3 linked regions of the Kluyveromyces lactis genome follow. The protein of the gene in region 2 purifies or fractionates together with the protein of the main gene of each other region. This does not show direct contact. Links are inferred from orthologs where the notes say so. Each region holds a gene or a part of one and is shown on either strand. Other genes may lie near its edges.

Evidence for each region.
Region 1: the proteins of PIM1 (region 2) and PET20 purify together in Saccharomyces cerevisiae (affinity purification with mass spectrometry; 5 studies listed by BioGRID). This does not show direct contact. The link is inferred for Kluyveromyces lactis from reciprocal best matches to the Saccharomyces cerevisiae genes PIM1 and PET20.
Region 3: the proteins of PIM1 (region 2) and MAM33 purify together in Saccharomyces cerevisiae (affinity purification with mass spectrometry; 4 studies listed by BioGRID, with this or other methods). This does not show direct contact. The link is inferred for Kluyveromyces lactis from reciprocal best matches to the Saccharomyces cerevisiae genes PIM1 and MAM33.

Annotation. Positions count from the first base shown.
Region 1 is NC_006040.1:515,142-525,537, forward strand, and holds PET20 (Pet20p), read left to right. Parts: upstream 1-4,940; coding exon 4,941-5,690; downstream 5,691-10,396. Other genes in the region: AIM44 (Aim44p), read left to right, coding at 897-2,675; MGL2 (putative carboxylic ester hydrolase), read right to left, coding at 2,894-4,216; KLLA0_D06083g (uncharacterized protein), read right to left, coding at 6,074-6,424; leucine--tRNA ligase CDC60, read right to left, coding at 7,339-10,396. UniProt on the Saccharomyces cerevisiae protein: Required for respiratory growth, stability of the mitochondrial genome and for proper assembly or maintenance of mitochondrial proteins.
Region 2 is NC_006041.1:911,795-923,933, reverse strand, and holds PIM1 (ATP-dependent Lon protease PIM1), read left to right. Parts: upstream 1-5,047; coding exon 5,048-8,383; downstream 8,384-12,139. Other genes in the region: POP8 (ribonuclease P), read left to right, coding at 1-12; DNA-(apurinic or apyrimidinic site) lyase APN2, read right to left, coding at 78-1,577; RFT1 (glycolipid translocation protein), read right to left, coding at 1,849-3,519; HAP3 (Hap3p), read left to right, coding at 3,828-4,445; COX15 (Cox15p), read left to right, coding at 8,839-10,323; MAG1 (DNA-3-methyladenine glycosylase II), read right to left, coding at 10,521-11,351; DDI1 (Ddi1p), read left to right, coding at 11,542-12,139. UniProt on the Saccharomyces cerevisiae protein: ATP-dependent serine protease that mediates the selective degradation of misfolded, unassembled or oxidatively damaged polypeptides as well as certain short-lived regulatory proteins in the mitochondrial matrix.
Region 3 is NC_006039.1:668,732-678,338, reverse strand, and holds MAM33 (Mam33p), read left to right. Parts: upstream 1-3,413; coding exon 3,414-4,193; downstream 4,194-9,607. Other genes in the region: tyrosine protein phosphatase PTP3, read right to left, coding at 1-1,624; MRX1 (Mrx1p), read right to left, coding at 4,563-6,716; PCI8 (Pci8p), read left to right, coding at 6,845-8,014; ICP55 (aminopeptidase), read right to left, coding at 8,090-9,607. UniProt on the Saccharomyces cerevisiae protein: Not known. Binds to the sorting sequence of cytochrome b2.

The sequences.
Region 1 (10,396 bases), on a different chromosome or scaffold from region 2:
GGTTGTCAGCTTGATTTAATATCATAGCGAATTTCAAGTTTTCGAGTTCCTTCGTCATTAACCAGAAAATATAATGGATTTGGCACTAAAGTAATTACATAAAATGGTAGTGAAATACATCAAGACAAAATACTGATAAAAGAAAGCAGGTTATCATTGTTCTGCTATTATTCTGAAACAGTCTTAACTTAGTTTTGAGATGACGATACATTATGTGACACCAAATATATATTGGTACAAAATGCAACAAATATCTGGTATTCTAAAAGTATATATATAAACTCAGTTCATGATGATAATCTAGGCACTCTGATGTTAAGAGAATTATAGATGGGCAGGCTGTCACTTGGGCTGAATGAATAATTTCCTTTCAAGATATCCTTATGAGTAAGATGTTGTGAAACAGGTCACGTGTGTATTCCATCGTGGTGTACGGATGAGATTTCTGCCCAGCATCTAATTTCCCTTTTCATTACGAACCCAGCATGAAATTTAGCATGTCTTTGCAGATAAGGGCAAGCTGATACAAGGTCAGCAATATTTGCTATTCCAGTAGAGTGTCGTATGCGGCCTCTAGTAAATATGGCTGGCCCTGCAACTAATCATTGATACTGAATCAGGTCAGCTTGTTCCTTAAATTGTTGTCTGGTATCATCCTTTCAGTATCTATATATATATATATATATATATATTTGAAGGAATGAATGAAGAACTTGAATAAGCTGAATGGGGAAAGCGATTCCACGATTGTATGAGTCTTTTTTGTCATCATGAGCCACTTGCGTAACCTTTCCTGGTGCAAGCTTCGTAAAATATCTTAAAAGCGTTACTCAAAATTACGTGCAATACTGTTATCATCGAATACTCTAGCTGGTAAATACTGAATTACCGAATAAATGATCAGAACTCCCACAAGAACCAAAACCAAGTCCTATAATGGATCTCAATCAGAATTTAGGTTCCCAGATGTTGAAGTTTTGGCTCATCTTAAATTGCCAGAACATGGTTTAAACAACCATCATCTACTAAACGAGCAATTGAATAAGAAGCCAGAAGACGATATTCACTCCCAGCATTTATCTGACTATACCACGACAAATTCCAACTCCGGTAACTCATCTAATGGATACTACTCATTTGCTAACATATCTGATAATACGACTAATCCTGACAAGTTGTCTGCTGTCAAGAACACAGCTTGTGCAATTGGAAACAACAGGTACTCATATATATCATCTTCCGGTTCTTCAGTGCATTATCCTGGAACACTGGCACCGGACAGAACACCTAGAATATGTCCCACAAACTCACCTGAATTTGGCAGGCCATTGGATGGTAACTTTGATATGCAATGCATACCAGAAGCATATTCTACGGTTACCTCTGATTTCACTTTGCCGACTGCCGACAATATTTCTTTCCAGTTCACACTGTCATCTGGTAACTCCACTGCAATGCTAAAGAAGCGTAGTACGCCGTCTACGAAAACGCGAAACGCCACGAACTTAAGTGAGAAACGGAAATCATCAGTCAAAAGATCAACTTCGACTGTGTCAAGAAGGTCGAATATAAAAAGATCAAATGCGATAAGATGCAAAGGTGGACTCTTACACTATTTCACTAAGCTCGGTAAACGTGTAAGATTAAACCTTAAGAAGTTCCACCTGGCTCTAAAACGCAAACTCTTTACGTACAAACAACGTCATTTCGCAAAGTCTGATAAGAGGACAACATCACATTTACTTCGTTCAAACGGGTATTTCGCAAATATTAAGAGGTCACAATCGATGAGATCAATGGCTTCTTACTCTGATACATCCTCTCCAACCGTTCCATCTGGATTGGATATAAAGAATACCCCGATTGTCAAGCATTCCTCCAACATCAACCATCGTTCATTGAGGAGAACTCCATCCTCTATTAAGCGTGCAGCATCGATCCTTACGAGCAGTAATTCACTTATTTTTTCTAGAAGTAATTCTTCCGTCGGAAGAACTGATTCAACCCGTTTAGTTAGGTCTCAACCTTCTCTAAATTTAAACTTAGCGGTAAGACAACCTTCCATCGTTGTTAAAAATAAGGTGATACCACTTTCTCAATTCGATCATGACGATTATTGTATTAGAGAAGAAGACGAAGACGAAGAAGACGAAGATGAATATATTATCGATACACAAAAGATGCAACCACTAAAGTCAGAGATGGGATCTATTACATCATCCTTACATGATGGTGATTCTGTCTTCGAAGACGCTATGAGTTCGTCTGCCTCAATGGAATCATTGAGTGAATCTGTCAAAATTCTGAATGCAAATAAGGCTTGGGATTCTTACCTTCGTGCAGTTATCTCACAAAGAATTTTGATGAGATTGCAAGTCGCGAAGTTCCAAGCTTCACAAGATCACCATACTTACAAAGAATTGCTTGACGCCATTGTCACAGACTATGAAAGCGATGCTATCTTTTCGAATAACGACGCACAAACAGAAAATGACTCCATGTCAGAATGTGACTCCCCTCATGAGTTCGACACTCTAACTGATTCCTCGAGAAGTACACCAGCAGTTGTTCCACAGAGTTTACGCGAAAGCTTTTCGTCATTAGCTAATTTCCAAACCTCTGTGAAAGCCGGTGTTCGGAGAAATCTAACATTACCTGTAGGTATCAGCATCTGATATCTCATTTCAATACATTAGCATTAGGAGAGAGCCCATTTATTATTGACATATTTTTCCTGGACATAACTCCCTTCTTCCACCTCCCCTCATTAGCATTACAACATCATTGATTCCTATATATTCATATTAAGATAACCACGTTTGTTGTTCATATTTATCGCATTTCTAGTTCTCAACAGATAGAGTCAGATATAGACAGGGTTGTTTAATTAACTTTATCTGATGATTCTATCATTTTTGAATTTATTCTCTTTAGGCAGGTCAACAGATTTAAGATCGGGTGCGAGACCTTGCATTGAAATGTCTGTATAAAATTTATGAAGCAATCTGCACAACGGTTTCACGTACCACCTGTCCAAGTTCATGTCAAACCATCCAATGTGACCTCCCCTTGTAGTTGTTAACATTAAGGTGTACGGATTACTTTGGACTTCACGATATGGTAGCGCTTCACATCCAACAATAGGATCATCTAAGGCATTCAGAATCAGTAATGGAGTTCTCAACTTGTTTAATCTGTTCGAACTCGTACCGTGCCTGTAATATTCAAAAGACGTATTGAATCCAAACATTCTAGCCGTAAAAAAGTTATCGAATTCTTCCACTGTTTTCACTTCATGTAGGTGGTCGGCGTACATACGCGCCATTTCAGGATTTTGCTTCAAAACATCAAGATGAGATGTCGTTAGTTTAACTAAATTTTTCGCTAACGCTGGAGTGTAGGCGTATTTCCCTATCAAGTTTCTTTCCAAATGATAAGATGATGCCGTTAAATCCCATGGATTTCCCAACACAACACCTAATTCTACGTCTGATTGATCGGATTCTTGTCCCAGATAATTGGCCGTCATACTTGCCCCTAAAGAGACCCCACATAAAAAGAATTTTCTATTAGGAAACTTGTTCCTCAATTCCTTCACGCAAAACCTTACATCATCAGTCCATAGCCCACAATACAAAAATGGTGTCGTAATGCTTGATTGGCAGCACCCACGGCTATTTAAGACGCAGGCTTCAAAATTGTACTCGTTCGTGATGGTGTCAACTAAAGATCTGACATAACTTTCGTTAGAACCACCTGTCAACCCATGTAATATAATGAGCATCGGCTTTGTATCAGACGATCCGAACTTTTCATCAGCATCAAAATAGGTATACCTCGGAAGCAGTTGATTTCTCTGATTTTTGGGAACGTAACCAGTCTCTTTCCATAACGATTGGGGAACACACACATCTAGTGCACCTTCACCGCCGTCTGGATAATTGAGAATATATCTCTTATAATAAACCAAATGTTTCGATTCGAAAGTGAACATCGAAGCAAAAATCGTCTGCATATGACCACTGCAAAGAAAAGGTGGAATCACACACTTGCTATTATGTTGGAACTCCGGTGCATATTTGTCAATTAATGATTTAATGCTGACACTTTTTGCAGTTTTGCCTGGTTCGCTGTTAAATTGTAACAGCTCATCAGGTAAGAACTGCTGTACAGTTTGAACCCACGGTAATAACGAATATAATTCTCCCAATACCATTAGTAGCTGAAAAGCTCTCTAACACTCAAACACTGTTATTGATCCTCTTTTCTAATGTACCTTCTTTCTATTACATTAATCCATGAATAACTACCATAATGTTAAAGACCGATAGCATTAAGGTTTACTTTTCTTTCTTCAAAAACCCATTATAAGATAAAATACGTAAGGTCAGATGAAGACAATTCTAGATAGAAAAAAAAAAAACACACAATTGACATGCGAGCAATCGTTGGTAAAAGAAATCGCTACACGTTGGAATCAGATGCTCTATGGGTAATTAAGCGTTGCCACGGCTACAAACATATAGCCTAAAGTCACTTGTTTATTAGTATTTTGGACAAAAATTATGTAATATAATCGTTACCTATGACACACATCTACAGGTTCCGGAAACTGAAAAGAAATTTGAAAATAAAGATACCTGATTTTCACTTTTAATAATCAACCCATTTAACGAGAGGTTTATCCTCACGAGAATACAACAGCGATATACAACAAATAACGTGCTGATAGCAGAACATTAACATCTACGTCAAGGTTGCTATTAGTTTTACTAGATCGATCACCACTGTCAAAGGGTTAGAGACTTTTGAAGCGAGCTGTTTTTTTAGGTGTTGCTACGAGTTGTTTATTGGAAAATCTGGAATCTGTTTACTCCTTGTTGGTTTTCCCTCAGTGAAAGATAGAAGGATACTTCTATATCGAGGCACATATAATTACAATGATGTTCAGCAATGTACGTCTCGGTTCACGCTCTATATACGTGAAAAATCGCATATCTGCGGTATCACTTATAAATGGTGTAAGGAACCAGAGTTCTGTCAACTTCCAAAATAATCAGATGTTACAAAAGCAGAACTTGAAGCAATCGAAGCTCAAGAGTAAACGATCAAAACGTAAGGAGGACGGCGATCTTGTGGATTCGATGAAGCTTGAAGGTAAGCAAGAAAGTTCGGCATCTGCCTCTTCTTCTCCTTCTGCGGAATTAGGTAAGGATTCAGAGGAGAAGATCATAAAAATGGCCACGAAGAAGTTATCTAGAGATTATTCATGGTTACCAAGAGTACCAACCACCGAACATATATTAAGAGAAGAGTTCAACTCGGATATGTTATATTCTGGTTATAGACCCATCGTTGTTGGGGATAAGAACGCAAAGGAGAACAAATTGATGCAGTTTGCCATGAAATTAGAAAAGCTTAGTGAACCTGTACCCTGGGTATCAAGTGCCACGGGACAAGAATTTTTCAGCGAATGGGATAATGTACCATCAGAGATTATCAAAGATTTGAAACCGTTCCATCCACCAAGTATTGAAGAAACAAACAATGCAAAAAATAAAGAAGCCAAGGAAAAGTTACAAAAGCAAATATTACTGAATGAACAAGACAAATTAATAAATCGTAAGCGAGGAAGAAAGAAGCCCATAATCAGGTTATTGGATCTGAAACGCAAATTCGAGAAAGAATGAGAATTGAAATCTTTGGAATGCCAAGTTGATTCTTGACATTTTCTCGAGATTCTTTTTATTTGGGCTAACGATAAACAATTATTAGAATCTCTCTCTCTCCCTCTTTTCGTTAAAATCATTCCAGGGACTCACCATACCCCTGAAGGACTACTTTCTAAGTTAACACTATAATATTTCCAATTTTTCTTCCCTGTATTTCACGATTCATATATAGTATATATATCTAATGCATACGATTTAACAAACACAAATAATTTCGCCTTTTACTTCTGGAAACTAAAATATGTATGGAATCTTTTACAGGAGTCAAAAAATTATGACATCTTTCAGCAATGAAACGATCCGACCAGCATTTCCACTTTGTATGTTCCCTTTCCCAATTCTTAAACGTCATTAATCTTTGAAGATTTCTTTGAGTTTTTAGCTTCGCTACAACTGTTGCCGCTATAGCTATGGTGTATTATCTTTTCAACAGTTTCGAAGGACGGGAGTGCTTCATAATTCTCCAATTTCGTTCTAAAATCGAATTGTGCACTAAGCATATCGTTCCTGGTTTCCAATGTTGAACCGTTCAACGTCTCTATTGTATCACATAGTTCCATACATGTATCGAGATCAAAATCCTGCTGCCGACTATACACTATGAACTGTTCTGCATCGTTAAAATATTCTGCAAACACTTTATCGCAATCCTCTTTTACAAGTTGTAGTGATACAGAATCGTGCCAGCCCATTGAGAGATCAAGCTTTCCCTACCACTTGCTGCCTCAATGACAAGATAATCGAACCAAATCCTCTATTCTACAGAAACCTGGATAAAAATATGTGGTGGCCCGGTATTTTCGAAACTGCATCAGATACACACACATATATATATATATATATATATGACATATGCATCAGGTAGTTCCCATGCGTCGACCTATAACTTCCTTCAAAATAGCGGAGTTGCCAACAGAAACGTATATATGCCACTACTGTGAAAGTCCATAGAAATCGACTGACTCAAAAGAAAACATCTCTGAAGTTTTGTCGCATTTCTCCCACGCCAAAAATTACATCATATTGGAAAACTGAACAGCAAACACAGCATAAACGATTCGTACAAATTCCCAGCTTCTCGTTTCGTTCCAGAGGCTTTTCCAGAGATTTGTCACCTTGTCTTATCTTCAGCGAATAATATTCGAAACAACTGACGGAATTGGGGCTCTAATACAACACACAAAAGCCCTTAGTTTATCCGAGACACCGCGAAGACCGGGACTCGAGCGACGAAAACCTGTGCTCTATTTGGCTCTCTCTCCAATGGAAAACTGAAAACGAATTAATTCCGGGGTATTTCAGCGCGGGTAACAAGGTTTTTTTCTTCTCTTACATGGTATATCTGTTCAAAACTCCGAGAAAAGACACAGATGAAGAAGCATTTAACTCCGATTTTGGCGTGGGTTGGAATTTCTAACTGAGTAAGCAATTAAATTTGGTTGAAAACAGAATATACAAAACGGTTACAGAGAAAATTCACATTACAGGTTGTTTGACATCGGTACCGTTTCTATCTTTCTATATAACAGATGCCTATGGGGTCATCTTCTAAATGTTGTTTGTGTGATTAATTATTTTGTTATTGTTAATTTATTTTTATCTATCTCTATTCGACGTTCTTGATCAAGATAGCTGGTTCACCTGGAATAGCGTTTTCAATGGCTTTGCTCTTTTGAATCGTAACTTCTTCATTAGTAAATACGTTCTTGGCGGTTTCTGAGCCGTATGGTAACGAGAGAATTTCGTATTCGGAAATCTTGATTGATTGAGAAGACTTCTTCAAAATATCGAATGTAGACTTTACAGTTTCGATTTCGTTGAATAGTAAGTCTCTTGTGAAGACAGATTCTGGTGATTCAGTGGTTAATCTTTGTTTTAGTAAGGAGATGAATGGCATAGCACGCTTCATGTCCTTTGGATCGACCTTAGTCTTGACAACCTTGTTGTCGTCCAAAGTTTGGTTTTCGAATAATTCACGCACCAAATCGATGTACTTAGTTTGCCATTCTGGGAAAGTCTCAATAATGTACAAGGTCAACTTAGCTGGCTTTGAAGCATCAACGTCAGAACCCTTACCCTTCTTCTTTTTCAAAGCTTGGCCCTCTGCTTCTCTGATAGATCTTTGTAGATCTCTAACGTATTCTAGAGATACAGAGATACCGATGTCGACAGGTTTGTTGACAGTTGGGAACTTAGCGTTCTGTACGGAACCTTCTTTCTTTAAGACTTCACGGTAAATGTAGTCAGCGAAATGTGGTGCTACTGGTGCTAGCAACAATACTTGTGTTTCAATGTAACGTAGCACTAGATCACGGTGCATGACATCAGATGCCTCACGATAGTAATCTCTAGCAGCTTGATAATCGAACAAACCGTACTTCATAGCACTTTTATAATTGGTGGCAGCGTATTGCTTGTAAGTTTGTTCGATCAATGAATTCATTTCATTTTCGAACGCGATGTCAAAGAATCCATACTCTGAGTCGGTACGCAAATTCCCAATGTCCTTGACCATTTCTTCGGCCCATTCTTTCAAGTTATAGAGTCTTAGAATAGCAGCATTAGCATTAGATTCATCCAAGTTGGCATCTTCAACAGTGTCACCTGCATCAGCAAGAGCAATACGGGAAGCATCGGCACCGAATTTCGTCACCATGTCGTGCAAAGTCATGAAGTTACCTGTAGACTTGGACATCTTAGCATTGTTCAACATCAAATGACCGTTGACTCTGATACCCTTTGGCCAGAACTTTCTTGGGAACAATGCAACGTGAGTGTAGATAAAGAAGGTCAAGTGGTTTGGAATCAAATCCTTACCAGAAATGGAAACATCCAATGGGTAGAAGTATTCGAACTCTCTTCTCAATTTTTGCAAAGATTCTAATGGGATATCAGTGTTTTTCACTTCATCGACGTGTTGGAAGACATAGTCAAACACTTCATCTGTCATTTGTTCTGCTTTGATTCCCAATGGACCAATTTCGTTACCGTAGTAATCTTTGAATAATAAATGCGCAATGGTATAGAAGGATTGGTAGATAGTAGAGTCAGACAAAGATTCAACCAAATACTTTGGATCCCATGGTAATCTGGTACCTAGACCGTAACTACGAGAAACAGCCCAGTTTCTCAACCAATCTAAGACACTTTCGAAGGCATTCTTAACTTCAGGAGCAAAGAGTTCCATACCTTCCAAACATTCAATAGCTTGTTTCTTCCATTCTTCTTCACCGTAGTCGACATACCATTGATCTTCCAGAGAAACGATACATTCGTCACCAGAACGAGAAATGACAACAGATTCTGGTTCGTTATAGACAAAGGCTTCGTTGTTGGCAATCATATCGCTCTTAACCTTGGCCTTGGCAGTTTCGACCTTTTCACCCTTGTACTTACCATAGATCATAACACCAGAATAGAAATCTTCTTTGTATGCTAATTTCTTGGCTTCTGCTAACTGGTTGGTATCTTTTGGAGACTTTATTTTTAGCTCCTCGCACAAAGACTTGGCGGTTAAATCACCGTATCTATCGGTGTGAATAACAGGAACCAATTCATGGTTGATCCATTCAGGGTCGATACCATAATATTCTGGTTTATGTTTCAGATCTTGTGTAGTCATGTAATCATCTGGAGAGTTGGTTGGAACACAAGTAACAACACCGGTACCCTTGGTGGCAATGACAGTGTCCATCGGTAAGATTCTTAATTCTGGGTATGGTGTCAATGGAGCATGAATCTTAGAACCGACGAAATGTTTACCCAAAACGGATACTACAGGTTTGTAGTTACCTCTCTCTGGTGTAAGCTTTTGATAAGACATGTTCTTAAAGGCACGCTCAGTGGTGATGTAATAACAATCGCCAGCGTCGAAAATACCGTAGTTAATGGTTGGAGAGACGAAACAACAAGTTTGACCGTACATGGTTTCTGGCCTCAAGGTAGCAGCAACGAAGTAAATCTTCTTGGAATGGTCCAAAGTGGATTCAGCAACAATCTTCTTAGCCTCCTCAGCAAATTCAGTTACTTCGATCTTGATACCTAGATATTCTTGCGGAGTAACTGCTTCACCGGATTGTCTATCGTGATCCATACATGGTTGGCCATCCTTTTCCGAATAGATGGTGTAACGTTCACCGAACTTGATTTTTCCAAGATCTTTTAGTTTCTTCATTTGCCATTTAATAAATTGATCGTAATATGGATTCAGGTCGGTAGTGATGAAAGATCTTCTCCAATCAATACGGGCACCGAACGATGTACAATCGGTTTCAGTTAGAGGTGGGAAGTAAGTTAACCAATAGCTGGCATCGGCAAATTTGATGACATCTTCTCTGGCAATTCCTAACTGCAACATGATTTCGAATTGATATTTACCACGACCTTGCTTAGCAGCGGCCTTTGACTTCTTAGCCTTGAACTTGGTAACATCGTCGGATTGTGCAGCTGGTTTGGCTTCTTGTTCTTCTTCCGCATCTTCAGCTGGAACATTGGAATAGTCATTGCCAAACAGTTCAGCTTCTCTTTTCAACTTGTCAGCACAAGCAAGGATTGGCATACCAGTACAGTGGAAACCGATTGGGAAAAGGGCCCTCTTACCGTTCATTCTTTCGAAACCAATAGAGAATTCAACCTTGGATAAGGTGAAACAGTGACCAGCGTGT
Region 2 (12,139 bases):
GAAAGATTATAAACTAAATCATAAATATTGATGCATAAAATAATAATAACCCAGAATGGTGGAACACGGAAGAACGATTACTTCCATTGAAAGAAGCCACAAGATGCTTCTGGATCATCTTTTTCGCCTTTTGATCGATTGCACACCCAAAACTTTTTACCAAAGCTTTTGTCAGTCTTAGAGACTCGAAGAACAGCTTCTTCACCATGTTCACAAACTGGTGCTTTTCCAAGCATTTCCTCGAAAGCCTTCATATGTGCACTCTTGACGCGCGACTGAGGCTGTATCGATACATTTTTGTTTTGATCTTTGGAAACTGTTGCTGAGGCCAGAGCATTCATGCCGTTATATTGCTTGACATTCAGTGGTTTTACTACTTTGCCCGTGCTTGTCGTGGAAGGACTGGTGCTTTTGCGATTGGCCTTGCGGAACATATCTAAAATGTTCCCATGGTTCAAGAAATATCTCGTGGCAGCCTCAAATTTTGGCTTATTGAAGCTTTCATGTTTAAGTTCGAGGTTATCTACCTTGATATCAGCAAAAACTGGACAGTGATCTGATCCCATAATAGTGGTCAAAATATCACCGTCCGTAATATTATCCTTTAATCCTTTGCTGACAAAGATATAATCAACACGAGAACCGTAATTGACCGGCCGAGTATTTAACAACGTATTCCAGACTGTATACATTTTTAGTCTGTCCCTACCCTGTATCTTTCGCGTAGAATCTACTAAAATACCCTCTTGTGCATATTTTGAAATTATGGAATCGCATAGCATTGTATTAAGCAACCTTCTTCCAATGCGAGATGGGTCCATGATGAACTGAACGCATTTCTCATTAAACTTTTCTTCAATTTCAGAGCCCGTCTTCTGTTGAGATAAAGAAATAGATGATTCATCTAGTGCCGTAGCATGATCTTTCAAATCTCTGCAAACATTTATGTCCCCCATTAGCACGACATGCTTCCCTAACCCGTGCAAATTTCTTATCCGCTTGAAGAGTAGCTTTAAAAACGTCAGCCGAGACAATTCTCCTTCTTCGGTTTGTGACGAGTTAGCAGGGCAGTATGTTGAAAAGATAACAACATTACAAGCCAATTCGATGATGATACATCTTCCCTCGCTGTCAATATCAAGAAGGTCGTTTTCATCAGCAAAATCCAAACCAGTATATCCACCAATCCCTTCTGAACTCTCACGATAGGATATGCCATTAGCTTGCACTCGGAGAAGCCCCGTAATTCCTTCCTCTGCCTTAATGACCTTTAAGTGATGTCTTAATGGATCATCTTCTGATGGTGTACGAATCCAGCATCCAACCCCACTGTACCCTTTCCTCTTTTGAGATATAGTAATATATGATTGGTAACCTTCCACTTTACCCCATTTAGATATACTTTTAGCATCTATCTTCAATTCCTGTAGTGTCACTATATCTGCTTGAAACAACTCGAATGCTAGTTTCAATGAATTGTTCATCCTACTAAAAGGATAATGTTGGAAAAGAGTTCTTACTCCATTCACATTGAAAGTTACGAACCGTACTCCAGTTTTATCTTTCACTTCATCCATAATCAATGGTTCAGGCACATAACTCTCTGGTAATCTTCTATATAGAGCAGTTGCACGTATATAGATATGGCTCACTCTCTTTTTCTATTAAGCATCTGTGCTGCAGTTCTTGTTATCTAATTGAATTATTGGATCTTAATAGCAAGCATCTTACAAATAATGCACATCGACCGTAAGATGAAGATTATATGTAAAAATGAGACCTGTATATAAATCATGAACTAACTGAATTTGAGATATGTCGTTAAAAAGGAAACTAACTAGTTACTAATTATGCCGCATAGGTTTTTGCAGCTAGCAGTTCTGATATTAAGCTCTTTTCTTTGTAAATCACCAAAATAAGTAACAATAATGCCAAAATGACGTTAATAAGTAGTTCCCGCATATTTTCCACATAGCCTATGAAATACCAATCTAGGGCACCGATTATGGCTGCGATGAGAGCAACGTTCTTGAAGGTGGAAATGTTTGGCAAGATTGATTGAGTAGTTTCAGTTGACGATTCTTTTAGTAGGTAATGGTAAAATTTATGAATAAAGTTACCACAGTATGCTATTCTCAAAGCCATGTTCAAAATGTTACTGACAATGAGCCCTTCTAGTGATAGGTCAAAATATTCTATGAATAACCAACAGTTGAACAAGAAAATGCCTGAGAAGAGCATCATGACGTATGAATGTTTGAAAATCTGATCACCGGAGGCAACACTTTGGAAAAACGCCTCGAAGATACCATTCAAGGAAAGGAATGGAATATAGAAGCAGTAAGTTCTTATTGTTTCTAAAAATGAGGTACTTGACCACTTAGATCCAATGACAAATTTCAATAAGTATGACGAATTGATTGGTCCGAATATTATAATGAAGAGTGATAAGTACAGATAAAACTTGGTTAGGTCAATCAAGACCTTCATAGATAACCATAAGTTCTTCTTCGACGATACGCTTAACAAGCGCGCTAAAAACAAGCGTAATGCCTCCTCAATCGGAGCAAACAATAGTCTTGTTATCAAAGAGCCGTAATTTGAAAGAAGAGAGTATATACCTTGCTCTTCCACCGTGCACAACGAATTTATGATTAGCTTATCACCTTCTGTTAACAAATGCTTGAAGCATAGCTGGAAATACACTTTTTTGAAGTGCTGAACGGTATCATTTTGGAAATAGTATGACTCTTGTCTTGTTTCAGGCCTGATTTTTGTCAACTTGTAGCTATAACGCTCTCCAGTAGTATAGACCTCTGAGTAATAATTGTAGGAGTAACATGCAAGTAAAGTCATCGCGTGAACGAGCTTACCAACTGCAAATGCAAAAATAGCGATCCCTTCTTGTTTGTAATCATCATGCAACTCTAGCCCAACTCCGTTCACCATTTTCTCAAACCAGACAACTATAATAAAGTTCGCAACACATGCAAAGGTGACACCTAAACTCTCATATTTGGATCTGATAAAGTGATTGAGTAAATATTGATGTACCAAGTAGAACGGTTCACTGACCAACTCAATCAATATACTAAGCCATATAAGGAATATGGAGGCTTTGAAGTATGGAAGGTCAATGAAGTACGAATTTAGATTAGAGTATTGCCATGAAATTAGGATAATAGACAATGGTAACCCAATCACAAACGGTATATAACCAAAATTAATCAGGGATTGCAAAGTTCTCGTATCCTCACCATCCTCTACTTTTTCCAATTTGCCGCTATCTGTTGTAGATTTGATCCGTAAGGTGGAGATCCGAATCGATTCTCTACTGAAGAATAGTACTGTAGAAAGTAAAAACTCTAGGAAAGAGGTAATACCAAAAATTCGGGGGGATAAATAACGCACTAGCAAAGTGTTCAACAAGAAATTAACCCCTTTACTCAACGTTTGTCCCAACATTAGAAATAAGACTCCATTGGCGAATTTGTTCATATGCTCATTCTTGACATTCATTCTTACCAAATGATATGAAGTAACTTTGCACCCTTCTTAAAGAACAATGCTGAGCACTAGCACCTACAGCAGTATAAACCAATCCTATCGATGAGCACTGGCCGTTTATTGGATCTTATTAGTGTCTTTCTTTGCCAATGTATACATTGAAAAATCTCGATCTTTGACGTTCAGCAAATTCAAAATCATCAACAAACCTTAAAATACCCATTCATGACTATTAACTACATAATAAAAATACTAAGTGTTTAAGGTCTTTCACTGATTTGGTCTGTTATGAAGATCAGAGCTAGCGACACCTACTAAATATGGATACAGAGACAGAAGCTGAGAAGCAAGAGAGGCATAATAACTATCTTAACGAACTAGCGGAGCAAGATCGATGGCTTCCGATTAACAACGTCGCAAGACTAATGAAAAACACGTTGCCAGCGACCACAAAGGTATCTAAAGATGCGAAGGAATGTATGCAAGAGTGCGTAAGCGAATTCATATCGTTTGTCACTAGCGAGGCCTGTGATAGATGTACCAGTGGGAAGCGTAAGACTATTAACGGTGAAGATATTCTTCTATCGCTACATGCATTGGGATTCGAGAACTATGCCGAAGTGCTCAAGATTTACCTAGCAAAATACAGACAACAACAGGCAATAAAGAATCAGATGATGTACCCTAAGGAGGATGTGGAAGGTTCATACACAGAAGAAGAATCAAGGGCAGAAGACGCAGATCACGTGACACAGGAAAGGCAGCAACCTCTTCATCCTGTGCCTTCTTCAGCTTCCACGACGACAAGCACAGAGGTATCGGCATCAGAACATGTACAGTCGTCTTCAAAAAGCACTCATAATCCAGCACAAGCTCAACCACGGATTGTCGTCCAACAGCCACTGGGATCGCGCCATTCTACTGCGGATCACTTGTAACATTACCTCTTTCTCACTATAACAAAACGCATCTATATATATATATATATATATAGATATGTATGGATGTACTTAAATATTTAACGACCACGGCTCAATCACATACCAAGGAGGGATCTTAACGTACAATTTAATGCCAATTGGCAAGCAAGTGGTACGATAGGTCCGTCTTGACAGATTATATTTTCCGTATTAGTGCTAAAATGTCATTTTCCGGTGATATTTGCGCCACCGGTATTTATAATATTTGTAAGATAAATACCAATTTATACAACTAAGGAACACTTGGATTCCGGTAACATTTTAAGAGGGAAAAAGGCCTTTCATAGTAGTAGCACAATAGATACATTAGGAGGTATATTCCAATCTAGTTTTGATCTAATACCCAGGATTTTTGATCAACTGAAATCAGATACGGAAGTGATTATTTATTTGGTTTCGAAGGTGTTTTTTAACTGTGACTTTTAGTTTCAATAGAGCAGCTTCTAACGGATAGTCACAAAATTGAGATACAGTTTACTACACACCTAGTCGAACAGCTTCTGATACCGGGTGACTAGCTTTTTTTCCCTCAGTTTATTTCAAGTGCAAAGGAGATCACAATGTTAAGAAGTAGTAGATCCCGCCTTGTGACCAGGAACATCCTTTTGCGTCAATTCAAGAATGGTAACAACGTCAGGTTGATGAATGCAACGAGGTTCCAGCATAATGGCATAGTTGGTAACGAAAAGTTAGCTTCGGATTCTCAGAAGTTTGTGGATGAGTCTTATCACTGGATGCAATATCGGAAACAGATGAACGACCCTGTTTCAAGACAGAGACTTGAACAGTTGGAATCCCAATGGGTAAAAAGCATACAGTTGAAGCAGGATGATAAGGGCAAGGATATAGATCAGCCAGAATCTGAAAACAGGAAGAAAGAAGAGGAACAAGTCCCTACTGAAGAAAAGGACAACGATACTGCAAAGGAATCGGAAACATCTCAGCAACGGGATTCTGTTGCAGAGACTCAGGGCCCAGCTAGCACTTCTGGAGGAGCATCGGGTAACGGAGAATCATCAGGTAATGGAAGCGGTGATGATGGTAACAATGGAAGTGGTAATGGAAAACCTTCCAAGAACGCTAAACAACCGTTCCCCGAAGTTTATCCCCAAGTGATGGCATTACCAATATCTCGCCGTCCATTATTCCCTGGTTTTTACAAAGCAGTTGTAATTTCAGATGAAAGAGTCATGAAAGCGATTAAAGATATGTCAGATCGTCAACAACCATACATTGGTGCATTTTTGTTGAAGGATTCTACTGTTGATACCGATGTGATTCATAAAGCTGATGAAGTTTACAATGTCGGTGTCTTCGCCCAAGTTACAAGCGCATTCCCAAGTAAAGACGAAAAGACTGGTGCTGAAACGATGACCGCTCTATTATACCCACACAGAAGAATCAAATTGGATGAATTGATCCCACCAACTTCTGAACAAAACCTGAAGGATGAATCAGATGTATCCAAGAGCGAAGGTGTCGAAAATAATGAACAAGAGGTAGTTAAGGCCTCTTTACAAAAGATGGAAAATATGAAGGATGTTGAAGAAGATGACGATGAGAATTTGACCGGGTTCTTGAAAGATTATGATGTTTCATTGGTCAATGTATCCAATTTGGCTGACAAAGAATTTAATCCGAATTCCCCCGTCATCAATGCGTTGACCTCTGAAATTTTGAAAGTGTTTAAAGAGATTTCTCAATTGAATACCATGTTCAGAGAACAGATTGCAACTTTTTCAGCATCAATTCAATCTGCCACCACAAATATTTTCGAAGAGCCAGCAAGATTGGCTGATTTTGCCGCTGCCGTTTCTGCTGGCGAAGAAGAGGAATTACAAGAAATCCTTGAATCCTTGGACATTGAGCAACGTCTTGAAAAGGCATTGACAGTGTTAAAGAAAGAGTTGATGAATGCTGAACTACAAAATAAAATCTCTAAAGACGTTGAAACTAAGATTCAAAAGAGGCAGAGAGAGTATTATCTAATGGAACAATTGAAAGGAATCAAGAGAGAGTTGGGTATAGATGATGGTCGTGATAAATTAATTGAATCTTTCAAAGATCGTGTATCTAAGCTACAATTACCGGAAACAGTTCAAAAAGTATTTGATGACGAAATCACTAAATTAGCGACTCTCGAAACTTCACAATCTGAATTTGGTGTGATTAGAAACTACTTGGATTGGATCACTTCCCTACCTTGGGGTATTATATCTAAAGAACAGTACAGTATACCAAAGGCGAAAAAAATCTTAGATGAAGATCACTATGGTATGAAGGACGTCAAAGATCGTATTCTTGAGTTCATCGCCGTTGGTAAGCTTCTCGGGAAGGTTGATGGTAAGATCATCTGTTTTGTTGGACCACCTGGTGTGGGTAAGACATCCATTGGTAAGTCCATTGCTCGCTCTTTGAACAGACAATTTTTCAGATTCTCAGTAGGTGGTATGACTGATGTGGCTGAAATCAAAGGTCACAGAAGAACCTATATTGGTGCTTTGCCAGGTAGAGTCATCCAAGCTTTAAAGAAATGTCAAACTCAAAACCCGTTGATTTTGATTGACGAAATTGATAAGATTGGGCACGGCGGTATCCATGGGGACCCCGCCGCAGCGCTATTAGAATTATTAGACCCAGAACAAAACAATAGTTTCTTGGACAACTATATGGATATTCCAATCGATTTGTCTAAAGTTTTATTCGTTTGCACCGCTAATTCTTTAGAAACTATCCCAAGACCATTGTTGGACCGTATGGAAGTCATTGAACTAACTGGTTATGTTGCTGAAGAAAAGGTTAAGATCGCAGAAAATTATCTATCGCCAAGTGCAAAGAAATCTGCTGGTTTAGATAATGCTAACGTCAACATTACCGAGAATGCTATTGTTTCTTTGATGAAGCATTACTGCAGAGAAAGTGGTGTTAGATCATTGAAAAAGCACATTGAGAAAATCTACCGTAAGGCTGCGTTGAACGTCGTTAAACAATTGAGCATAGACGATAAACCTATGGAAAATGAAGAAGTGAAGGATCAAAAGGATATAAAGGTCAAGCAATCCGAAAACAAATCTAGTGCTGAAGCATCGACCGTAGAATCCACTACTGAAGAAAATGAACTGATCAAGACCCAAAAATCTCACGATAACAAGGGTTCCTTAGAAGTACCGGAAACTGTTTCTGTGACTGTAGACGAAAACAACCTAAAGGATTACGTAGGTCCACCAATCTTCACTACTGATAGATTATACGAATCTACTCCTCCTGGTGTTGTGATGGGTCTTGCATGGACTAGCATGGGTGGATGTGCAATGTACGTAGAGAGTGTTTTAGAACAGCCTTTGACACATTCAACTCAACCTACTTTAGAACGTACCGGCCAACTTGGAGATGTAATGAAGGAATCCTCTAGACTAGCATACTCTTTCTCAAAGATGTACTTGGCCAAGAAGTTCCCAGAAAATAGATTCTTTGAAGTTGCAAAGATCCATTTGCATTGCCCTGAAGGTGCTACACCAAAGGATGGTCCATCTGCAGGTGTGACAATGGCCTCTTCATTCTTATCACTGGCTTTGAATAAGGGTCTTGACCCAACAGTGGCTATGACCGGTGAATTGACTTTGACTGGTAAAGTTTTGAGGATCGGTGGGTTAAGAGAAAAGGCCGTAGCAGCCAAGAGATCTGGTGCCAAGACTATCATTTTCCCCAAAGACAATTTGTCAGACTGGGCTGAGCTTCCAGAGAATGTGAAGGAAGGATTGGAACCTTTGGCCGCAGACTGGTACGAAGATGTTTTCCAAAGACTATTCGGAGACGTAGACACTAACAAGGGTAACACCGTTTGGTCAGAAGACTTCAAGAAGATTGATGAAAAACGCAACAAGGAAACTAAATAAATCAAACCCAATGTCATTTATCTTATTTAGTCCCATGTAAATATATACACTACTGTAAACTAAACACAGACGAATTTGATACGAATCCACCGCCGAATGAACCCCAGGTACTACCATTCTACTTAAACAACGATTATTTGGATATACAGACAAAACGTACACGAATTCCCCATGCGGCCTTCAAATAAGTATAGAGAATTTATAGATATTAACAACATCGACAAACTGGCCAAATATAACGACATGTCAACTCGTTATTCAATAGTACGTTTTATCGGGCTTCTTTCTGCTGACGCTTTTATATAGTTCCCTTCACGTTATGGAATGATCAGGCTCAATATAAAAAAAAAAAAAAATGGAACGATGAAGCCTTTCACTAGTAACATTAACAGAAGTAAGTATTGAACCACAGAGGCCAGATTCGATCTTTTGAAGCTGACAACCTAGTTATCACTATGTTCAGAACTTTGGTTCTTGGAGGCAGAGGCCTCAGCGGTATTCGCATAAGTTCCCGTGGTTTAATGACCCGTTCAATATCAAATTTGGTAAAGACAAAGAATGTGATTCCCACTGTTGCTCTTAAGAGAGCTTTGCCAACAGTTTCAATGGCGTATTTCCATACCAGATCTATTGTCAGGGAAGCTGTACAGGTATCGCAAACTACTGGTAATGGTATAACAACAGCTACGGCATCCACGGCTAAACAAGCTAAGTCAAAACCCTTGCTAAATTCATCAAAAGTGGTAGGGTACTGGTTAGTTGGTACTTCAATTCTTGTGTTTGGTATTGTCGTTCTCGGGGGGTTAACCAGACTTACTGAATCTGGGTTATCTATTACAGAATGGAGACCTGTCGCTGGTACTTTACCACCCTTGAACCAGCAGGAATGGGAAAATGAATTCACCAAGTATAAAAGTTCTCCAGAATTTAAACAGTTGAACTCTCATATTACCTTGGATGAATTCAAGTTCATTTTCTTTATGGAATGGATTCATAGACTATGGGGCCGTGCTATCGGTGCTGTATTCATTCTGCCTGCTGTCTACTTTGCTGTCGCTAGGAAGACATCACCTCATGTTAATAAAAGATTGTTTGGTTTATCAGCACTACTAGGTTTACAAGGTTTTATCGGTTGGTGGATGGTCAAGTCTGGTTTGGATGAAACACAATTGAAGGAAAGAAAGTCCAAACCGACTGTCTCACAGTACAGATTGACTACACATTTGGGTACCGCTTTCATGTTATATATGGGTATGCTCTGGACCGGGTTTGAGATCTTGAGAGAGGCCAAATGGGTTAAAAACCCATCCGAAGCTCTTGTTTTATTCTCAAAACTAGATAACCCAGCACTAGCTCCATTGAGAAGATCTGCACTTGGTCTACTAGCTTTGACCTTTGTTACTGCGATGTCTGGGGGTTTGGTTGCTGGTCTGGATGCTGGTCTAATCTACAATACTTTCCCTCACATGGGTGATGATTGGGTACCAAGTAAACGTGAATTAATCGACGAAAACTTTGCTAGAAAAGAAGACAAGAGTGATATGTTTTGGAGAAATATGTTGGAAAACCCAACTACGGTTCAACTGAATCATAGGATTTTGGCTACAACCACTTTCTTCGCTGTGTTTGCATTCCACATGTACTGTAACAGAAACAAGGCTATCATTCCTAAACAAGTTCTACGTACTGCTCATGGTATGATGGGTCTTGCCACTTTACAAGTCACTCTAGGTATTTTTACCTTGTTATATTTGGTTCCAATCCCTCTAGCTTCTGCTCACCAAGCTGGTGCCTTGGCATTATTGACAGGTTCATTGTTGTTTGCTTCTCAATTGAGAAAACCAAGAGCCGCAATTAGAATCCTCACCGGTGGACTCTATACACAACAGCAAAAGGCCTCTTCTAAAATCTTAACTGAGGCTTCCAAACTTGCGAAGTGATCTTGGGAACTACGAATGGATCCTTTTTTTTCAATTATTTTCTTGTTTGTCCCCTTTACTTCCTATTTATTATAAACACTGGGCAGCACATTAAATGTTATCTTGTAAATATATATACTCAAAAGTTGCTACCAGTGAACTCCTACCTTACTTTAAAGTGTACTGTTTATACACAGCAATTACAATGCCTCTAATTATTACTTCGACATAAACCTTTTCTCATTATTGATGACAACTTCCATGTTAGTATCCGACATTCTCCAAAGAACGAACATAAATAACGTTCTATGGGGGCTAAATAAATCACCACAGAGCTCAACCACGTCTTCATCGTGGATTTTCCACTTGAAACTCTTGTGCTTTATTTTTGATTTCTTGATAAGAGTCCGCTTGCTGTGAAGCTTCTTTAAGATCTCTGGTCGTTGTTCCAAGTACCTTGAACATCCCCTTGCGATTCCCAAATCTTCAGCTGCAAATACATTTAAGCGATGTAAACCTGTAACTAAAAACATCTTCGCTGACCACGGTCCGATACCCTTGATATTTGCGACTAGCTCTTCGATGATTTTATCATCGTCTGCAAAGGCAAAGAGATCTTTTATAGAATCCTCGTTATTGAAAAAATATCCAACCAAGGACTCAATATACATCAGCTTCCTTTGAGATAACCCACATTCCTTAAAAGCTTGTTTCTTCTTCGAGTCTTGGAATGTTTCGTGCAGTGTCTGATAATTAGGAAAAGTTCCATCAAACATATCTACGATCCTGCCTCGAATATTCTTCGCAGCTGCACCACTGATCTGCTGTGAAATGATGCTACCTGCCAATTTATTAAAATAAAGGTCCATCGAATCCTTGGCCACATTTTCCTTGAGAAACATGGTGAAAGGACTATGCTCAATGATTTCTTTTAATGTGGGGTCAATAGTTAAGATATGTTCTATTCCATCACGGAATGAATCAATGTGCTGATCCAGATATTCTTGGTCCACATCCACCTTGAGGATATCATCCCTTGTCCTTTTCATTTCAATATAGCCTTGGCGACACTTTTGTCCGTTCTTTCTTTCTTTACTTTCGAGAAGTTGTTTTAAGGTTCTCTGACATATAAGATTCCTTTATTAATCAAGATCAACTTTAATTATCAATTATCACTTTATTCAATGGAAAATAAACACTAAAACTGAAAGTTACCATTACTAGGCAACCGTATCAGAGATGAACATCACCGTCACTTATGAGCACTCTGATGATGTCCTTGGACCTTTTGAATTGAGTGAAGATATGTCGCTTATCGACCTTTTCGCATTGATAGACTTTAAAGAGGAATCTCAGATCATATTTCACAACATGAAGCAACTTGACACTAAGAACACGAATATAACTTTGAAAGAGGCTGGCTTACAAAACCATGATATGCTTTTGATAAAACCTAAGAATCCCGCTAGTTCCCAGGCAGCTTTCGGTCAACCTCAGGAGATCGATTTGACGGATGAACAGTACATTGAACAGTTCAGGACTTTCCTATTAGAGAATCCAAGTATGGCTCAAGAGATGGGTCTTCCAAACTTAGAACATATGATAAATAATAAAACCCAATTTCATCAACTACTAGGTCCGGTGTTACTTTCCAGACGTGGTGAAAGATCAAATAACCCATTCGGTATCCCAAATTCTGAATACTCAAGATTAATGAGCAACCCTGATGATCCTGTGAATCAAGCACGGATTTCGGAGTTGACCAACCAACATGAGATTGATGAGCAATTACGATATGCGATGGAATATACTCCGGAGTCTTTTACCCAAGTGTCAA
Region 3 (9,607 bases), on a different chromosome or scaffold from region 2:
CAATTGAAGCGGACGATGAGGGGCCCAATAATCTCTGAAGTCTTTTTCTTTCTAATAACTCCAATCTTTGGAACTTAGATATAAAGTGCAGTTTTGGAATGTCCATTAATTGGCAGAACCAGGAAGGAACTACCTGATTGATCTCCTCTGAAGCAAATCTGTGGTATAGGTTATCATATTTAACTTGGAAATTTAGTTTAGATGAATTGTGGCCACTAGAAGGATCTGCTGGCGATAATGCTGTTTGAGTTGAAGTAAATGATGACGAAGTCGCATCGGTACTGAACTGTTTGGACGGTGAAGCAGGAAATTTGAAGGATCTTAGGTCATTTTCTGATTCTAAGAAAGAATTTCTTTGAGAGCGTTCATTGATCTCTACGGCCTTCACATAATTATCTAGATCGGAAATGTCATGCTCAATCTGCGGTAACTTAAAAGTTGGTAAATGTTGATTATTTATCGGTGCCGGCAGTTTAAATCCAAACAAAGATGATAATGGTGATGATGTGGATATTGGGGAACCAGATAGAGTCCTACTGTTACCGGTTTGTGGTGGCTGTTTCAAAGGAGAACAAGAATGCGAATGAGATCTACCAGAGTGTTTCAACTGCGGTTGAACTGGAGAAATATTGTCTGCCTGATGAGGGGAAGATGGGGAATCTAAGGTATAAGAGTCTTCCAAATCCATGGTACCAACTTCGACGTCATCAGGATATGCTGCATTAAATGATTCAAAACCTTCTGCGAGAATGAAAACAGAAGGCTTTTGTTTGTCACTTACATGATCGAGGATCTTAGAAGATATTCCGAAACATGCCAATGATACTGCATAATCTGTCTGGTTTGCCACATTATCGTAAATAACCACCTTGGCATTTGCAGTGGCGCTGTCACTGCCCAATAAATATTCCGATAAAGTTTCCCTTCCTGGGGAAGGTAGATTACCTATCAACCTTTCCAGATTGAAGTTTTTCCTTTTCAGTAAAGTCGAGGGAAGACACAAGTGCATTGCCGATCTGATGTGATTTTTGTTGAACTCTATGAACGGCCTTGTATCGAATATTATCAGTTTTTCATTGGGATTCTGGTCCATATTTTCAATATAATGGTGCAAGTCCGCAGGGCTAATAAACGAGCAGTCTTTATGTTTAGGAAATCGGAGATCTTTTGGACATATTGTTGGAATAGCGGGCAAGCTATTGGACTTCATTGCTATGCTCCGCGATCTACTCCGTGAAAACGAAAGGGAACTTCTATGAGATGCTGACAACGGTGAAGGTGTACATGTACTATACGAAGGTTCAGATGCTGAAGGGAAAGTCGACGCATGTATCAGAATCTTTTCGGGCAGTACCTCCGTTGAATTTCTTTTGTAATTTGCGCTCAGGGCAGGAGATGCTAACGATGAATTCGACGATTTATCATCGATCAAAGTGGATGACGAACTTAGAACTGATGAACTTTCCGATGTGAATGAGCTGCTCTGAATTGAATCACGATCTTTATACTCTGTACATCCAGATATCGATGGTGGTCTAGCGAGAGGCCTTGAAAACGAAAGAGGTTCTTTGAGTTGGATTTCTTCCTGTTGTTTGTTGGTGCCCATCGTGTCTATATACTCCATTTCTCTTCGAAATTATAAATAGATTAGATTTGACACCCTATTACTAACAAAGTACTTTCTTTCTGTATGCTTAATTTGACAGTTTTGTCTTGGTATAGGTTCTTATTTGGTGTCTTCGTTAAAGCAGTGATTCGAACAAAGTTAAAAGATAGCTGAAGATGTTGGAAGCTGTTCTATTTGGTTCAATAATGCACTAGACCTAGAAATTACGAATTAGAAAACACTTGACCGAAAAGAAAAGAAATTCTAAAAAAGATATTGAGAAGAGGATTGCATAAGGATACACAGATGCATGCATTCGAGAAACATATCCAATGGAAAAAAAAACAACAACAACAACAATTAGCACGCACATCCACGTGATATACGGTCGAATTACATAAATGCATATGTGATATAGTAATGCCCACTTCGTTGGTTGAACCAGACACCTTGCTACTTAATTAGATTACTTTTCATCTGTAGGAAATTACCTGAAAAGACACCTTATGTAGGCAGAAAGGTACTGAAAACAAAGGACTCAGAAAAATATGCGATAAATCTTCTAAACTATTTACACCCTCATGCCGATTGCAATTTTACCAAGCAATACTCATCTCTTGTTGAATAAGAACCGCAAATTGTCAAGACATGTTACAAGGATATCACGGATGAAGAAGCAGTTTCTATGGTTAATTACGACACTCTGTTGCTTTGTGAAATGTATGAACAAAAAAAAAGACACAAATCTAGAAATCAACAGTAGAGCCGAAAGAACGGTATAATAAGGACCGAAAAATATGCTAATAGTCAAAAGATCTAGATCCCCTGGGTACTAGTCTGAGAGTATGTTCTTGGACTTGTACTCTTCAACTTGTGAAAAGTAGTTTAATAGAAGAATTGCAGATGGCTGCATAACACACCACAGCAAAATCCTGGGAATAAATTTCAATCATGAGCATAATCATAGATGGGGCTCTTTTGCGCAGTAAATTACGTCGTTACAATTATTTGCAACTGGCTTTTTTTTCTTTCTTAGAACTGACAATGAATGTTGTCCTCCGTGCTCTTGCAAAAACGAACACGAATTTTCTCGGGAAAACCAAGGCGTTGATCATTGTTCCGGTTCGAGACTACGGTCGAAACGGACATTACCTCTCTGCCCTAAACACACTCTGATCAGTAAACGTTCATTTGTCAAATAGTAATGCGAGAGTTACCATGGGACTAAGGCTCGAAAAATTTCGTACTTTTGATCCAGAATGTTAGCACGGAAAGCAGTGACCAAAACGGTTCGAAAGTTCGCTTCCCTCACAAAAGAAAAGAATTTTCAATAGAAATGGACTCGGGTCTCGAACATCTTTCTGCAAGCTGAAACGAAGAAATTAACGTAGTGAAATAACTCGGAAACTAAAGGCTACCACTACTCACAAAACGAAAAGCGAAAATTACGTACGCCTAGAAGTCAACGCACTGTATCTGTACCAGGGTCCGCCCTTAGAACTGTTCGAGCAATTTGTACCCGGATGGCGTCTTTACCTCTTTTATTGGCTTGTTTACACTTTACTCATTCACGTGACGCTGAACGTGCGGGTAAATATGAAAAGGGCATCCACCTCATTACCCTGATATACTTTCTTTTTGCCACACTCTAGGATCGAGAGCTGAAAGGAAAAAGAATTCTGGAAAGATTATAAGCTCTTATATTGAACTGTGATATTTCAAGCGATGAGCTAGCTTATTTGATCCAAATTTAAGGGTTAAAACAAACCAGTCCTATAGGATAAGCCCCCTCCCCTGATAGAATACTATGTCCCTACGTTTGATTACCCGTGTTGCCTCCCGTGTTGCTGCTCGTCCAGCTTCCATCCAGGTGGCCAGAAATGTGATTGCTCGTCCAACCTTTATCACATCTTCCCGTCAACTCTCCTATACTGCTACCACTTTCAACCAACATACTACGAAGGTTGCTCAAGTTTTAAACAGCGAAGTCGAATTAGAAACTTCTCAACAAATTGTCGACTTGCCAGAAGAATTGGCTACTTTCCTGTCCAAGTACGGTTTTGAGCCTGTCGTTCAAGAAGGCCGTAACTTGGCTCACATTAGAAGACAATTGAACGATGAAACTATCAATGTCTTCTTTGACGTTGCTCAAGTTGCTAACTTGCCTGTCGAACCAGCTGCTTTAGAACAATCTGAAGAACAATTGGAGGAAGATTTCGATAGTATGTCTGATAACTTTGCCAATGTCAACATTGTCGTTGTGAAGAACTCCGACAACACAGCAATTTCATTTGAGCTTTTGATGAACATGCAAGAAGGTTCTTTCTACGTCGATTCCGTTACCCCATACGAATCAGCAGAAGATGCTTTGAATGAATCAGCAGAAGCCGAAATCAAGAGAGAATTGGGATACCACGGTCCTCCATTCTCTAACTTGGATGAATCTTTGCAAGAGTCCTTGGAATCTTACTTGGAATCCAGAGGTATCACCACCGATTTAACTTCATTCATTTCTAATTACTCTGAGTTCAAGGAGAATAATGAATACATTCAATGGTTGTCGAAAATGAAGAAGTTCTTCGAGTAATTGCAACAATAACTCTTTTTCAATATGACTAAAGACAGAAGTATTTGTTCATTCAAAAACAATTCTGCCTCTTGGTGGTTTTACTTCACTACTGATCACTGAGCTTTATGATCCCTCTATCAACATTTCTCTTGTATATACATAATTTTTCTCTTACCTTTTTTATTATGGATTTTTAAGGCAAATTTGTACATTATATATCGCTCTATGTAATATCTGTTATAATGTACCTATCGTCTTTTCCATTGGTACCTTTGATTATTACACCGTTTGCAATAGTTTAATTATTGAAATGCAGAGCCAGCAAAAGACAAGCCTCCAAGTGAGATGCCTTTTTCATTGGTTTAGTATGTACAGGAGGCATCTCAATTATGTTGGTGAAAAGTCATCAATGTTGGTGTCCAATATTGTTTCACAATATTGTCTAAACAATTTTTCGATTTCGGGGCTGTTAGAATCCCTATCATGTTCTAGGTTATCCACAACCTCTAGGATTCTCTTTCTTAATCTTATTAGATGCCTACGAAACAAAAATTTTCTTTTAAGTAAAGAATTTGAATCTTCCGCTTCAGCTTGCACTTCCTTTAGTTCTTCATCGGTTAAATTCAAAGATGATTCCAATGATTTTATAAAACGTACAGCTTCAAGATAAACAAAACGCATACTCTCTCGAGTGCTTCCTCTCTGCTTCAACAACATTACTGGATCACAGAGCATTGTGGTAATGAACTCGTCTATTATCGTTTTCTTGAAAGTCAAAGGTAACGCGTCTTTGCATGACATAACAATTCTCAATAAGAACATCCATGGTTTCCAGGATAAATAGCTCTTGTACTCATCATTTTGAATCGAAGTCTTTGCTTCATTGTCCTTCATAAGTGCAAGACATGATTTTACAAGTTCTGTCGCCTTTACAGGATCACTGTTGTTTAGCTTTTTAGTAGCCTGTCTTTCAAATGCTTTATAAGTTAAAACGACGTGCTGTAAGGGTTCCCGCAACATACCATCATCCATCATCTTACGAAGTAGCTCATAACATCTCTCTCCACAGTTCTCCGGATCTGCTTTGATAATTAAGTTCAACGCAGCGTTTATTGTTCTGTTGTTGAAAAGGTTTGGTCTTTTTCCCAGGTAATGCTCGAAGAAAGCGATACCATATTCGTATTGTCCGGTCTTAAAGCAATTTTCCATTAAAAGATGTGCAACATGGGGAGTCAAACGCATTTTAGATTTGATATTCCAATTCTTCAAAGCAGGCAACTTGACAAATTCTGGTATTTCTTTCTTGAAACGAACATTTGGGACCTTAAAATCATAGAATATATCAAGCAGAGGCAACACACAATTGGAAAATCGTAGATCCCTTCTAGAGTGCCAAACGTTCAAATAATGAAAAAACATTTGTGAATCGATAACTTTGGGGTCAGCAGAGTTCATTATATCATCAGCCCTTTGAATGGCTTCCACTGCATCTGTAATCTTCGCACATCCAATAAGTAGTTGCGTGTACGCAATTGCATCTTTTTTTATACCTTTGGGTCTCAAATCAAAACATTTGAACAGGTAACTAGGGTCGTTAGAGTTCGCCAACGCACTTAATGCAGCGTTAAAATTTATATTATTGAGTCTTTCATCTTCAACCAATTTTAAAACTATCTTCACCACTCGTTCTGCAACTTTGACAGAAATTGGTTCTGGCAACCTTGCCAACCCTTTGAACAAATTTGTTTCAGTGTATTCATTGGGAGGTATTTGCCACTTCTTTCTCCAAGAATATAAATCCACAGCGGAATGGCTATCTTTTTCAACTTCTAGATAATGTGTCATTAATGTGTTCATTCCAGCTGCACCATTTGGTCCAGCAAGCTTTATAAGAAATAAAGCCTTTTGCAACTGGCCTCTCTTACAAAATTTCGCAACATCGCGTTCCACCAATATTGAATTTTTTAGTTGAGGTCTAGATATACCTAGTATAGTATACATTAATCTTTTATCGTTAGCGACAGAAAGAATGCTCGTATCATCGTCCGAAGTTGGTCCTACTTTGATAGACTTATCAAGATTAGTAATTTTGTGTCTCCCTTTTAAGATTTCATTCGCTTTCTTAATGGAATATCCGTACTTCCGAGCTTTGCGTGCTTCCCTTCGAGCGATATCCCTCTGCTTTCCATTTTCCTTCTCTGTTCGCTTCACAAGTGTCTGTGTCTTCTGCAGAAGGTCCAACTTAACCTTCAACGGTGAGCCGTAAGGTACCCGCGTAGCATGAAATGCCCTAACAAAGCGCTGCGCACATGGCACATGTATAACTGTTCGACCTATCGACATACAGATTCTGATGCTTGCTGACTGACTATCCTGTCTAAACTGCTCTTGAGGTGTCTGCGATGAGGTTGTACTCAAAGATTCGACCGTGATTAATATTTTTCCTACTACAGAATCATATTGGAAAAATTGACATAATATGCAAAACAGCCATATCTGAACGAGAACAAGAAACAGTGTAAGCTGCATCACACGAGACATAATTAAAAAGACCAACAAGGTGAGTAGTACTAGAATAACATCAAAGCCTCTGAAAAAGAGTTAGCATTGTTTGCGATTGCATTTTTTACATGTTTTGGGGCTGTTTTTGATAGAATATTGCATTATATATGACACAAGGTAGGCTATTTTATCCGTTGGCAGTGCTTCAAGATCGTCATTTCAGATCCAAATATCCAAATTACAATGAAAGTAGAGAGCTCAAAACCTGGAGTGTTGTTTCAAAGCGATTTCCTGCCTGGGAACAAAAACTAGTATCTATGCTACTTGATAATAAATACGCTGAATCCATAATATTTATCAATAGTGATGTTTCTATGAGCTCAGTGGGTGTTTTCAAACGGACCAAACTCCTGATTAGAACTCATATTCTAAATTCTCATTATAAAGCAGTGATTGATTTTGAATCTAGGCTCAATACCCAACCCATTACTTCTGAGCCAACGGAATTAGCGGATTTCATCGAGTGCAAGTTATTATTGATTTTAAATTGGTTCCTAAGGGGGGAATATCATCAGTGTTTACAAAGGTTCATTCAACTAATCATCGACATACCAAACTTGGTGGAGCTAATGGTAACTCTTCCAAAAGATGATATCTTTATATCGAATGAAACAATGTTTTACATCATCACTGTATCTGCATTAGTGTCAATTCCCCTAGATAATTTGGACACATTCATTCATTTAGAAGAACTAGAACAGTTTCATAAACACTTTGATGTTCTTGCTGGCAAGGGCAAACTTATAATTAATAGTAAGTTCATGAAGTTTTTCGACTGGTGGCACAATGATATGGAGCGGCTTTGCAAGCAAGATTATTTCTTAGAAAAAAAGTGGGATATAATATCTAAGACTATGAGACAAAAGATGTACGCATTTTATTTGAGGATAGCAACTAAAATACAAATTAGTTACCTATCCGAAAGAGTCGGAATATCTCGAGAAATTGTCACTCAAGAAATCACACAACTAATCTCGGAAGCCTGTTTGAATTTCCAGATTCATGATGATCTCATTTTATACCAGAAATTTGACCCTCAGATGGCTCTAAACGATTTGATGATGACTGAAGATATCACATTGGATAATAAGCTCTCCCAATTACGTCGTCAAAACCATAATTTGAGAGTAATCGTCGATGAACATTTAGCTTTAAGGAAAAGCAGAATACAGCGGCGAAGCAAGGCGAGTGACGAAGAACCTATGAATGAAGAAGAAGTTTTCGCTCTGAGCGAAAACGAGCTCTGTAATGAGACTGCTGATACTTTCAATGATTAAGAGAGTACGTAGTTTTGTTCTATTTACATGATAAATGCTAGTGAAATTACATAACTTTTAAATATTTTCGAACCGTTAGAAATCAAGAGGACGAGGTATGTCGTGATCTATTTTGGTAGAAACACCATGCTGAACAATGTTTTCGATGTCAATTACTTCTTTAGCTGCTTCAACCGTCAAGTTAGTGTATGAATTCAGGCCAATGGCAATATCATCTTCGATACGAATTCCAATATTCCTGAAATATTCGGGGTATTTTGGATCATTAGGGATGTAGAGACCAGGTTCGATAGTGATCACTTGACCCTCTTGCAAAGGTTGATGCCTGGATATTTCTGGTACGTCGTGCACATCTAAACCCAAATTATGACCTATGTAGTGCGGGTAGATTTCATTGATATCCCAGTTGCTCAAACTACTCAAACCAATGTTTTTCAGTTCTTGCTTGAAGAATTGTAAACTCTTTTCGTGAATCTGATGCAATGAAATAACATTATGGGCAGCACACAATTCAATACATTTCTTTTGAACCGCTAGGACAACTTCGTATAAATCTTTTTGGGCATCTGTAAATTTACCAGATACTGGCCATGTTCTTGAGATATCAGAACAGTATCCACCTATGGCACCTGCTGCATCTACAAGCACCATTTCATCGTCGAACATAACATCGTCATTTCTAGTATAATGAATGCATAATGCGTTGTCCCCAGTTCCGATTACTGGAATATACGCTGAACGATCACAACCACCTTCGATAAACTTGTATTCTAGGAAGGATCCCAACGTTCTTTCATTTCTGAACCTTCGAGCGTACGCTTGATTGTAAGCTCTCCCGGAAATTTGGCCGGCTCTCCTCATGATACGCAATTCTGCGGGAGATTTTGTACTTCTAAGCTCAGCTACAATTCCTTTGAGAGGTCTCAACTGTCTCGAAGGGGTCGTATTTTTGATTAAGTTCAATATCGTAAGCTCTTTTTGATTATTATCATTCATAGAGAAGAAACTGCTGAAGAAAGCTGTCGAATTCTTTGCATCCTTAGTATGATCAAAGTAGACATAATCACATCTCCTAATGATATTGCATATGTAGCGCTCTAAATTTTTGTTGCTGGTCGCTTCGTCAGCATTAAATATTTCTTTAACACCATCAACTCCGGTGCGGAACCCTTCCCATTTCTCAGCAAAAGGATCCTTTGGAGGAACCATCATATGTAGCACTACATCTTCGGGATTGTTGTTTGGTTTCTCGATTATCATGACAGAATCAGGTTCATTCCAGCCAGTGAGATAGTACATATCATTGTTCTGTTGGAATGGATAGAATACTGCTCCGGATGCGTATTTTACTTGAGAACCGGCAATGATTGCACATGATTTGGCAGCAAGTTTATCGGCAAGCTTAACTCTTCTTTTAAAGTACTCTAACGCAGTAATACCAGGAGTCAATTCCCCTGCCTTTAAAAGATATGGCCTCGTTTCATGGATGGGCTGACCACAATTAATCGGTAATCGTTGACGATTGACAAATTTCTTCAACCCCGATTGAACATGAAAGTTCCGGCATATAATTGAAGTCAAAATATTATTCTT